Coturnix japonica: one gene and its partner. The protein of the gene in region 1 interacts with the protein of each later gene in a biochemical or structural test. Links are inferred from orthologs where the notes say so. Each region holds a gene or a part of one and is shown in the gene's direction. Other genes may lie near its edges.

Evidence for each region. The genes of interacting proteins can lie anywhere in the genome.
Region 2: the proteins of MMP2 (region 1) and TIMP4 form a complex in vitro, tested with the Homo sapiens proteins (2 studies listed by BioGRID). The link is inferred for Coturnix japonica from reciprocal best matches to the Homo sapiens genes MMP2 and TIMP4.

What each region holds. Positions count from the first base shown.
Region 1 is NC_029526.1:2,835,533-2,840,698, reverse strand, and holds the start of MMP2 (72 kDa type IV collagenase), read left to right. Parts: upstream 1-1,669; 5' UTR 1,670-1,859; coding exon 1,860-2,003; intron 2,004-5,166.
Region 2 is NC_029527.1:3,151,104-3,156,436, reverse strand, and holds the start of TIMP4 (metalloproteinase inhibitor 4), read left to right. Parts: upstream 1-1,698; 5' UTR 1,699-1,972; coding exon 1,973-2,102; intron 2,103-5,333. UniProt on the Homo sapiens protein: Complexes with metalloproteinases (such as collagenases) and irreversibly inactivates them by binding to their catalytic zinc cofactor. Known to act on MMP-1, MMP-2, MMP-3, MMP-7 and MMP-9.

The sequences.
Region 1 (5,166 bases):
TTAATATACATATTACAAATATATCTTAAATTATATTGAGTTTATGTGCAACTTTAAAGTATTTTTTCCACAAATAGACAAAGGATGTAGCTGTGGCTACAACTGCATTCACTTTATGTGACTTATCCAGAGGTAGCAACTGTTTGTAGAGACAAAAGCTGAACCATGAGAGGAAAGCTGTTCACTGTAACTCAAGTGCCACTGGAATCATACATAGAAGAATTGGAGAGTTACTTGCTTGCAAAGAAATCCCTGCTCACACACAAATTACTGCAACCCCTTCTTTTTTCTCAGACACTGAGGGCTCCTCCCCATGGCTGTTCAGCCAGTGCCTAAGCATATAGCTGCTGTGCTTTTCAGACAAGCTCTATGGGCAGTAAAAACCCCTGTGAATGTTTTTTTTTCCTGAAGGTCTTGGCCCACGGTTTGCAACCCTTGTCTTTATATAAGGTTCTTCAGTTCACAGGCATAGGCTTTAGTTAGCAAAACAACTCAACATTAGTGTAAGTCAATGAACTGTCAATACCAAATATTTCCAATTAAATATCAAAGTACTTTGAATAAATACCAAACACCAGCAAAGTATTTACTTTTCATTAACAACACTATTTGGTAACAGGAGTTATACCCAGAAACCCTTCGGTTAGAAACATGCAGTGGAAAGCTGTCACAGCCTCACTGCTGATGTACAGCTCAGAGGAACCCTGACGGCTGGACTCACCTTGAATAGAAACTGTTCTGTGACACATTTGGCTGGCCAGAACACAGTTTGCTTTCATGCAGAATTGCCAGTCTCCTGTCTTAAAAAGCCATGAGCCAAGCCCCTAGATTAAGGCTATTCAGCTAAAATAATATTCAGCTTGTATTAACACCTCAAAGCTGGCAGTATTATGAAGGAATAAAAAGGCCAGCCATGATGAAGGCAGTATTTGCACCAGAATTTCAGACATACAGCTGCATCAATGGGCCAAACCCATAGTGCAAGCAGACCTGGAATTCTGTATAAAATCACCCTACCAACCGTTGGGCACAGTTCCTATTTGCTGCATCTTCCAGATTCTCTCTAACTTCATAGAAAAACAAAAGTGACCCACCACCCCTATTGGTGGCAAAGCTTTAAGCTGTCATAAAAGCTGCACCAAGCCCTCAGTGATCTTGTTCAGAGCTCTGGTTATTCTCTGCACAGAGCAGGGCTGGAGTGCTGGTGAGCCCCATACACAGGGACCAACTTGTGCAGCCCAGGCAGGAGATGGACAAGAAGCCTTTGCACCAGCCCATGCCAGGTCTGCCTCCAACTATGCCATCAAAATAGTTACCAAGAGGCGCTGTGTAGGACTGTAACCACATCTGGCTAAAGCAATATGTGGCAAGAAAATAGGGTAAAGAATAACACAAATACTTAGGAAGGAAAATAATGTTTAGGGGTGGCTGTTTTGTTGTTATTTGTTTTCATTTAGAAAATACAAGAGACACTTCGTCTTCAGTATTAAGTCAGGTCTTGCCCTTTGCTGCTCTCTGGCATAACTAAATGCTTCAGTGTATGCAAATAAGGAGAAAATGTGGCTTCTTTCAGCAGTAATAAGTATCTGCCCGTTGCTACCTTAAAATCACAGCAATCACATCTGGTAACTGCCCTTTTCTCATGTTTCCACTAGTTTTCAGACTTCCTCTTGTGGTAGCTTGAGACTGCGCATCTGGATGTTTTAAACATACAAAGGAATTGCTAGAGCAAGCAAAAGAGAAAACGGTGCAGAGAGTTAAGATGCGCAGATAAGCAACTAGTGCACTGTGCAGCTAAAGTAACTGACAGCCAGTTAGAAAGATCTTTTTTCAGAGAGGATTGCAAAAATATAGGCAGAATGAAGACTCACAATGTATTTGGCTTCATTTTTAAAGTACTATTAATCCAAGTCTATCTTTTTAACAAAACTTTAGCTGCACCGTCACCAATCATTAAGTTCCCCGGAGACAGCACACCAAAAACAGACAAAGAGCTAGCAGTGGTAAGTGTTGGTTTCATCTTTGCTTCAGATTTGTTTCGTTTTTCTTTCATAAGCAGCTGTTTCTTTCTTCTTTCAGCTGAGGCTTGGAAATGACTGCAGCATTCTCTCTATAGTCTCTGGAAGTGCTCGCTAGCTAGCGCAGGTATCAGCTTTCAGAAGGAAAAACTAGAGCCAAGTAATGTTTTTCCTCTCTAAAAATTTAAAGGCAGCAAAAATCTTCTTTTTCCTTAAGTCTGAGCGAACAAAATAGTTTCATTAAATCATTGCAACTGTAATCAACAGATTCCAATGGTAAGAGAGGAAAATGTCTAATTTTTGACTTATATCAAATAGAACCGTGAGCTATTGAGATTCACTTACAGAAATCTGGGCTTAATGCATGTATCACACAGCTTTCAGGATCTTGTTTTCCAGACTGTTTACTGTGCATTGCATAAACACAGCTTTAAGGGGCAATTACAATTGAAAGCTGGCTCAAGTTTCAGAAGCCATCGTGACTAGTTCTGACTTCAAAAAAACCCCTCAAAGGTTTAAAGAAATATTCTTTTCAAATTAAGAAAAAAAAAAAACAACCAAAAACCAAAACAGTTTGGATTTCTGAATGTGACATCAGCAAATTATAGCTATAATTCTACAGCATTTTATTCTAACCTCATTTTAAGCCCTGTGAACCTTCATAAAAATGACTTTCAATGGGGAAATCCATTTAAGGGGAGATGGATCATACTAATTTTATCATGTAAATTATAGACATTTCTTCAGCAGTAACTCCATTTTAAGGAAGACTGAGATAACTTATTCTTATTTTAGAATTTGGAGGGTTGGAAGTTGGTTGCTGTTCTTTAGGAGCTGGTGTGCATCTTGGGAAAGCTTGCCAGGCTAACAGCCTGGGGGAGGGTAGAGAGAGAAATTCCAGATGGGAGCTGTGGTGGAAAGTTGAGGAAAAACAGATAAACTGACCCCAAAAGGGCAGTCTCCAGCATTTAACAAGACAAATTCACCAGAGCTTTTGTCTTGGCAGCACAGCAGCCAGGGGGTGGGGGCAGCATGTATGGGAAAGGAAAGGGGAGTCATACTTGTCTAATGGTAATTTAACCATCCTTAAACAATCTATTTTTTTTAGACACAGTTAGGATTTTACTAAATAGCAGCAATCCGCATCTCCCCTCATCTCTGCTTCTTTGGAACAACCTATTTATTATGTGTACTCAGAGGAAAATTACAAGCTGGTTTAAACACTGCAGTTCTTCTTTGTCTTTCTGGTAATATTCTTGGGCAATGTTAACTGGCTACTTTTCTCTCACACTCTCCGTCTGCACAGCCCCAACACTCAGAATCAGAACACAAATTGCTATGTTGCAGCTGGACCCTGTTTCATTAATGGGCTGGATCAAAATTCCAGATCACCACAGCTCCCTGCTGACTCTGGGGAAACTGAATTTTGCAGTCTAGGCCAAGATGTGGTTTACACAGACACTGCATTTTCTTCAAGATTCTCTCCTCATAGAACAGCTGGTTATGTTCATTTTCATCTTCAGTAAAATCTCCATTTTAGGAAGAACTGACAGGAGGGTTAACTTCTTACTTAGAAACATACCAAATACAATTCTCTATTGTGCCTCATTTTCTGTTTTTTTCATTGTCTATCATACTTATAAACCTAAATTGGCAAGAGCAGCATCCTCTTTCGTCAGTAAAGTTCAGTTCTGATGTACAGTCTGTGTTATACCATGGTGTACCACTGGCAAATACAAACAGAAGTGTAAGACAATAAATCAAACTACATGAAAATTATAATTAGGATAACAACAGATTCTCCAAACTGGCTTGTTTATGTTCTTAGTGCCTTTCACATTAAGTCCTAGGCCCCATTTCCTCTGAGTACACAGAAACTTGTTGACAGCAAAGGTGAAACCATTGTGTGTCCATTACTTGCCAGTGTTGCATTCTCTTCAGGAGAATTACCACATCAGAATATGATGTTATAAAAACTAAGCAAAGTCTGTGCTTAGTCAGTAGGTCAGTGGAGAACCTCCTGAAGAAAATGGTGTAACATCCTGATTAAATCTTTTCTGATTCAACTATGAACTATTTCCTATGCAGGGTAAAATGAGGCAATCCGGGACTTAATGTTGATGAAATCCATGTCCAGACAAACTGCAGTCATCAAATGTCATTTCCTATGTTTTGCTGATGTAGAGGTCTTTTCCCTCTTCTTTTGGGTGAAATTCAGTTAACTAATTAGATACACAAAGTAGGGTTTCCCTCAGGAATATTTAATGGCACAAGGACTTAAATGCACACTCAATTTGTCAAGTTTTTTAGAATCTTTGGAAAAAAACAATTCTTTCTTATATTTCTGATATGCTTTACCCTTACCTTATTTATTTGGGTTTCTTACCTTGGATTTGTAGCTAATATTACGGATACAATACCTGAAGGACTTTCGTCCCCATGCTAAAGACAGTTTTGTCATAAAAATCAGTAATCTACAGCATTTCCATCTACCATCTGTGGTAGTGGCATCTCTCAGCCTTGTGCCATCCAGATGACCTACACATCAGTCTGGGGATACTTGCTGTTTGATGCAGCTTTATCTACTCTTTATAGAGAATGTAAATTTAGCAATCCAGAACTGTACCTAGTCTAAACAGTGCAACTGAACCTACCTTTGTAATAGTCCAAGCTAAGGCAGCAGCTTGAAAAAATAATCAAATTCAGTTTAGATCCAAATACTGAATCCAAATGTTCAAAAAAGCCAGCTGTCTTTGTTTTGGATCTGTTAATTCCCAGATAGGAATAGAGCTGATTAAGACTTTACACAGCTGAAGATACAACTGAAAGTTTCATCGTCTCTTATGAGAGGTCACACTTTCCCTTTGACGACAATGTTGTCATGACAGGTTTCACCACATGTTACAGACTGCCAGACTACCAGACATTCTCAGAGGGTCGGTGTCTGCCCAAAGACATTCAGTTATTCTGGCACTCAACACTGAATTTATGAGGGGAAAAAAACAACCCTAAATCCTAAACTGCTCGTGCAAACTTAGTGTGTTCTGCACAGAAGATGGAGACCGTGATCAGATACTTAGGACCACAGCTATGAATCTACAGTTTAGAATAGCATAAATATACAACTTATTAACACACATTTGAAAGA
Region 2 (5,333 bases), on another chromosome or scaffold:
TTGGCTGTACAATTACTTTGATTGCACTAGATTTCATTCATCTAAAGGTCATTCCTCTAAGCATGGAGAGCATACAGTCTTAATGTGCCATTCTGTACAACCTTACGGGATACCTTCCTTGGACAACTACCAATAGGAAGAACTGCATTATCAACGCAATGAGAAGGCTTAGCCCAGCATACTTATCTGTTACTTGTATTTTACTGAAACAAAAATCAAATTGACTTATTTGGATGGTTTATGACAGCAAGCATGTGGTGTTATTGGGAAACCAGTCAATGGGTCTGAATTAATTCCTTCAACACTTTCCAGTTCTGCCACCCCAAGTGAGATCTGAATGTCAACAGCCCTACAACTACAGATGATAAATCACAGATGCCATTAAAATACCTGCTTGTTTTGTTTGTTTGTTTTAAATGGGCTTGAACATCCTGGAGAAGGTTTCAATCTCACAACTTTTTATTCATATGAAAATACTTCCTGAAAAATTAAGTGTCCTCCAGGTAAGAATGAAGATATCAACAAGTCTGAATTATTTGCTGCTGTTAGGCCTGGACTTGGATCTATCCCTATGACTTGAAGCAAAACTTCAGACTGAAAAAATAAAGTTCAAAGTATGACTGCTTGAGTTAAATCAGGATATCATGTAGAATATTCCCAGTCCAGTTTTGAATCTAAACATAAGACCCAGTTCTAATAATTCTGAGTATCCGTGTATTATTTATTTTTCACTCGAGTGTCTACCTGGGGAGGACTGAAACGAATCAAAGCAAATTGTTTGCTGCCAAAATGACCTCTTACAGTTTAACAATAAAATCAACCTTCTGCTGTGGAACCTGCACATATTTCTATAAAGATAATAAACTACTTTGTGTACACCTAACTCTCGACAAAACAGCTTTTCATAAGCCTTGATTCAAATGGTTTATATTATATTACTGAATTTTCAGTTCTCAAACTTGAATTGTGACAAAAAATACAATTCTTTAAGTTCTGTTGTCCATGTCAACCTATGTCTTATATTACTACTGTTTTACTACTTTGTAACATTTGTAACACATATCCAGACTCTGATATTAAAAGATCTGAAGCTGAAAAAATAGTTCCTAACTTTGGAATTTATGTGTGTGTTCCATGCATAACAGTAGCCAGAAAATGCAGATACAGATCTGTGTAGATCAGGATTAATATTGAAAAAGAATACGGAGAAAAAGCTGTGCCTCCAACATACATTAAACCTACATTAAATATTTGATAAAATAATAAAAAAGCCCTTTATTGCAGCTTTTATTTTTAACTCATTATTCCTTGTTACTGCTAATTGTTGTAGCCTTACAAATAGAGCATTGAAACGTCCCTTTTTCATGAAGTTCTGTCCAGCCTGCAAACAGGAATGTCATCTCAAGAAAATGCACAGAAGTGCAGGGGAAGACCAAGGACTGCAAATGAAAACAGGGTTTAATGAAGGACAGCTGTTCACTTGACCAGAATAGAGAAGGCGGCAGATTTATTTTGTAAATTCAGGCTGGAAGAAAATTTACTAGAAAAAGATAAAAAAAATCTTTGTTCTGCTACAGATGATTAAATTAACTGCAGAAAATTGTAAAAGCTGTTTTTGTAAAGGCTTTTGATTATTAATAGTTATACTGACTCATAACAGCAACACTGCAGTGCTTACTAAGGTAATCTCACTTCTGGTACAATAACTTTCACCAATGATGTGCTTTTTCCTTAAAGGAAGGCGGAGTTACCAGTTAGTGTCTGGGCCATAAATAAGAGGTTCCTATGTCAGGGAAATTAGAAGTCAGTTAACATAAGCAGACTGAGCATTAGAGGGCTTTACTAAACCACCCAAGTCTGCTGAAATTGAAGACGCAGAAGAAATCAGATAGTTTGTAGGAAGTTTAGATATAAAATCAACAGTAAGAAAGCATTTTCTCTTGGCAGACCGATTAGCTGTGCTTAAGGCAGCATGAATCCTGTACTTAGTACCTTGTTGTTTTCAGTGCTTCTGCTGCTGACCCACAGAATTCAGGAGCTGGTGGAGGCGTGCAGCTGTGCCCCTGCTCATCCGCAGCAGCTCATCTGCGATTCTGCTTTAGGTGAGTCATTAATAACGACGTGCTTTGAACTGCTGGTAGGAAATCGAGTGGAGCTAATCTAACTGCCGCATTCTTTTCTGTACAGCTGTAGAGAAATATTTTTAACCATGTGGCTTCGACTCTTAGAGCATTTTGGAACAAAATGACTGCAGACAGCCCTTTTAAACATACGGCTATGGGAAGAAAAATGTGGCAGTAGCTGATCTGTTTTTCTTGATTTTTTTTTTCTGTTTTTTCTTTTCCAGAACATTTTGTGGTTACAGATTGTTGAAATTACTGCACTATTTTAGTGGGCTTTCTTTTTTTCCTTCATAAAAACAACATCTATGTTAGCTCCTAACCTAGAGCAAGCAGCAAAGAATATGTGGACGTCTAAATGTTTACTGCTCACTGTATCTATACTAGACTATTCCATCTAAATACAGATCCACTCTAACTGTGCATATCAACAGTTGTTACAGCGCTCTGGGAAACAAAATGAAGTCCCCAATGACATGTTGAAATATTTGATCTTTGTTCTGCTGCGCTCCAGTATCTGACTTTATTTTCCAAAAATACTTGAGCAGGAAACTGATATGCCTTCACTTGTTTGAATCTGGCTATAGAGTTTCTACACAAATAGGATTTTCCAGTCTTTAGGATGGCTGTATTTCATGACGTTTAATCAGATCTGCGGCTGTCAAAATACTTTTAGAAAGAAACTAAAGATCTCAAAATTATACTGCATGGGGATAGGAAAATGTGTCATTTTGCAGTCTTTTGATTTCATTAGCTCAAGCTGAGGCTGGTTAGCTTCCATCTAGTGTGAACAGTAAATGTAGAACATGAGTTTCCAAAGTGTCACAAAATTAGCATCTCTATGGGGCAGGCAATACCTTCTGCATACTGATTAATTGCTTTTATACTCTGACAGAAAATCTTTGTAGCCATGACAAACTCCAAGCTCTATTTGTGGCCATCAGTTAAATTGTTGTTTAATCTGGTTGTGTTAAGCACTCTTTCACTGAGTTACCTACACCAGGCATTACAAACTTGGGGTTCAGGTGTAAAAGAAAATAAAGTTGCACTTCCAGAAGCTTAACTAAATATGCATACAGTTAATTATGTTAATCTGCTGCACTCCTAGGCATAACAAAATAAGTTTTTCAGCAGATTTGAGAGTTTTCAAAGTAAATAATTCCACAGTATAGAGGAAACTCAAAATACTTGTTACGAGATGTACATACTTCAGGGAATTCATTCTGGCCACTCTAATTAAGACAAGGTCCTTTATATCTATATGTACATATATAATAAATGGTAGATATATACTTTTAATTAGGTTGAAATAAGAAATTGTAAAATAATGCTACTTTATATTGGTAGCATAAGACTTGGTGCTTAAGCTCTCACTTACATGAGTTTTCTTTTAAAAGTCAATTGTACTTTATACCTAAGGAATACTTCCATCATGGATTTCTTTGTTTATCACCCATGTTTCAATATATATTTTTTTTTTTTTAAAAAAAAAAAGATTGACAGATTGTACATAATACATAATGTACATCTATCAAATCAATATTTGTAAACATATTTTGGATATGCATACATATGTATTTGCATATATGTAACACTTAAAGCCTGACCTAAGCATTTAGGGATGAATTCCTCGATTTCTTTTGGATACAGTACATCTTGTAAGCAGATCAAAATGGCTTCAAAGGATCTGCAGAAGACCTGTGGTGCAGTTTGCCCTGCATAAGAGAAACCTCCACTAACCACTTTGGCAAAGGCAGTTTCTCCAGCTCCTGTGCCAGGGCTGGGGCTGTCCTGGGGAAGTGGGCAGCACGAGGCTGAGTTTTCCCACACAGCGCTGCTCCAATGGGAATCAGGGCAATGCCTCTACAGCTGTTCTTCCTTTCTGAAGCAAAGCAGGTTTGAAGCCACACCTGCATCCTTTTTGCACCACTCAGTTCTTAAACCGGAATGGCCATGCTATTAAGTATCCTGTGCAATTGTACACATCAAATTTCTCCTGCTAGTAGTATGAAGAATTTTATACCTACACTTTCCAAGATTTAAGAAGATTAAAACATGTACTTCAAGATTTGTGCCTTAATTTCAACATATCTGTCCTTCCAAAATATCAATAAACAAAGAGATCAGCTCTTCACCTACCAAAATCATTAGTAACTGATCATCAATCCAGCTTCTTACTGAGACTATTCCATCTTTGTCATTTATTTAGTTCATTCATCTGTGTACCCATAGACACATTCAAGTATTTCCTAGCAGAATAAAAACCTGTGAGGATTTTGTGGCTTCACACTCTTAGTAAATACTCAGTGTAAAATACACCTCACCATCAGAGATGGGCTCCACACCGTTTGCATCTTGGAGCTGTCTAAAAAAAAAACCTTTGGACTTCTCCATAGTATGGAAAGATTGTAGTACTTGGCATATAATACGCACTTATATTTTATATTGCTGTACTTATTGTATTGTATTTATATATTTATATTATTGTCCTACCAAATGGAGACAGATCTTATTTGCTTGATAGCAATCACAGAATCACAGAACTAGATATTTATAAACATTAGTCAGATCCCCTCTCAATCTTCTTTTCCCCAGGCTGAACAGACTCAGGTTGCTCAGCCTTTCCTCATACAGGAGATACTTCAGGCCCTTTAGCATCAATGTGGCCCTCTGCTGGACTCCTTCCAGGAGATACCTTTCTATTTTCAACTGGGGAGCCCAGAGCTGGACACAGTATTCTAAATGCGGCCTCACCAGTGCAGAGCAGAGGGGGAGGATCACACCACTCAACCTGCTGACCACACTCTTTTTAATTCACCTTCCTGGCCACACACTGGCTGACATCCAACCTGTTGTCCACCAGACCTTCCAAGGTCCTTCCCTGCAAAGCTCACCTCCAGCAGCTCAGCCTCTAACCTGTACTGGTGCATGCAGTTATTCTTCCCCAGGTGCAAGACTTGATACTTGCTCACATTAAACTTCATCAGATTCCTCCCTGCACAACACTCCCATCTGTCCAGGTCTTACTGAATGGTAGCACAACCTTTCGGTGTAACAGCCACTCCCCACAATTCTGCATCATCAGCAAACTTGCAGAGTGTGAATGTTCTGCCTCTAGAGTGAAAATCAGTGACAACAATGCACAGGTATATTTCTAGGACAGATCAGCACTGACTGGAAAGAAGTAGCAAAAATGAAAGAAATGAAAGCTAA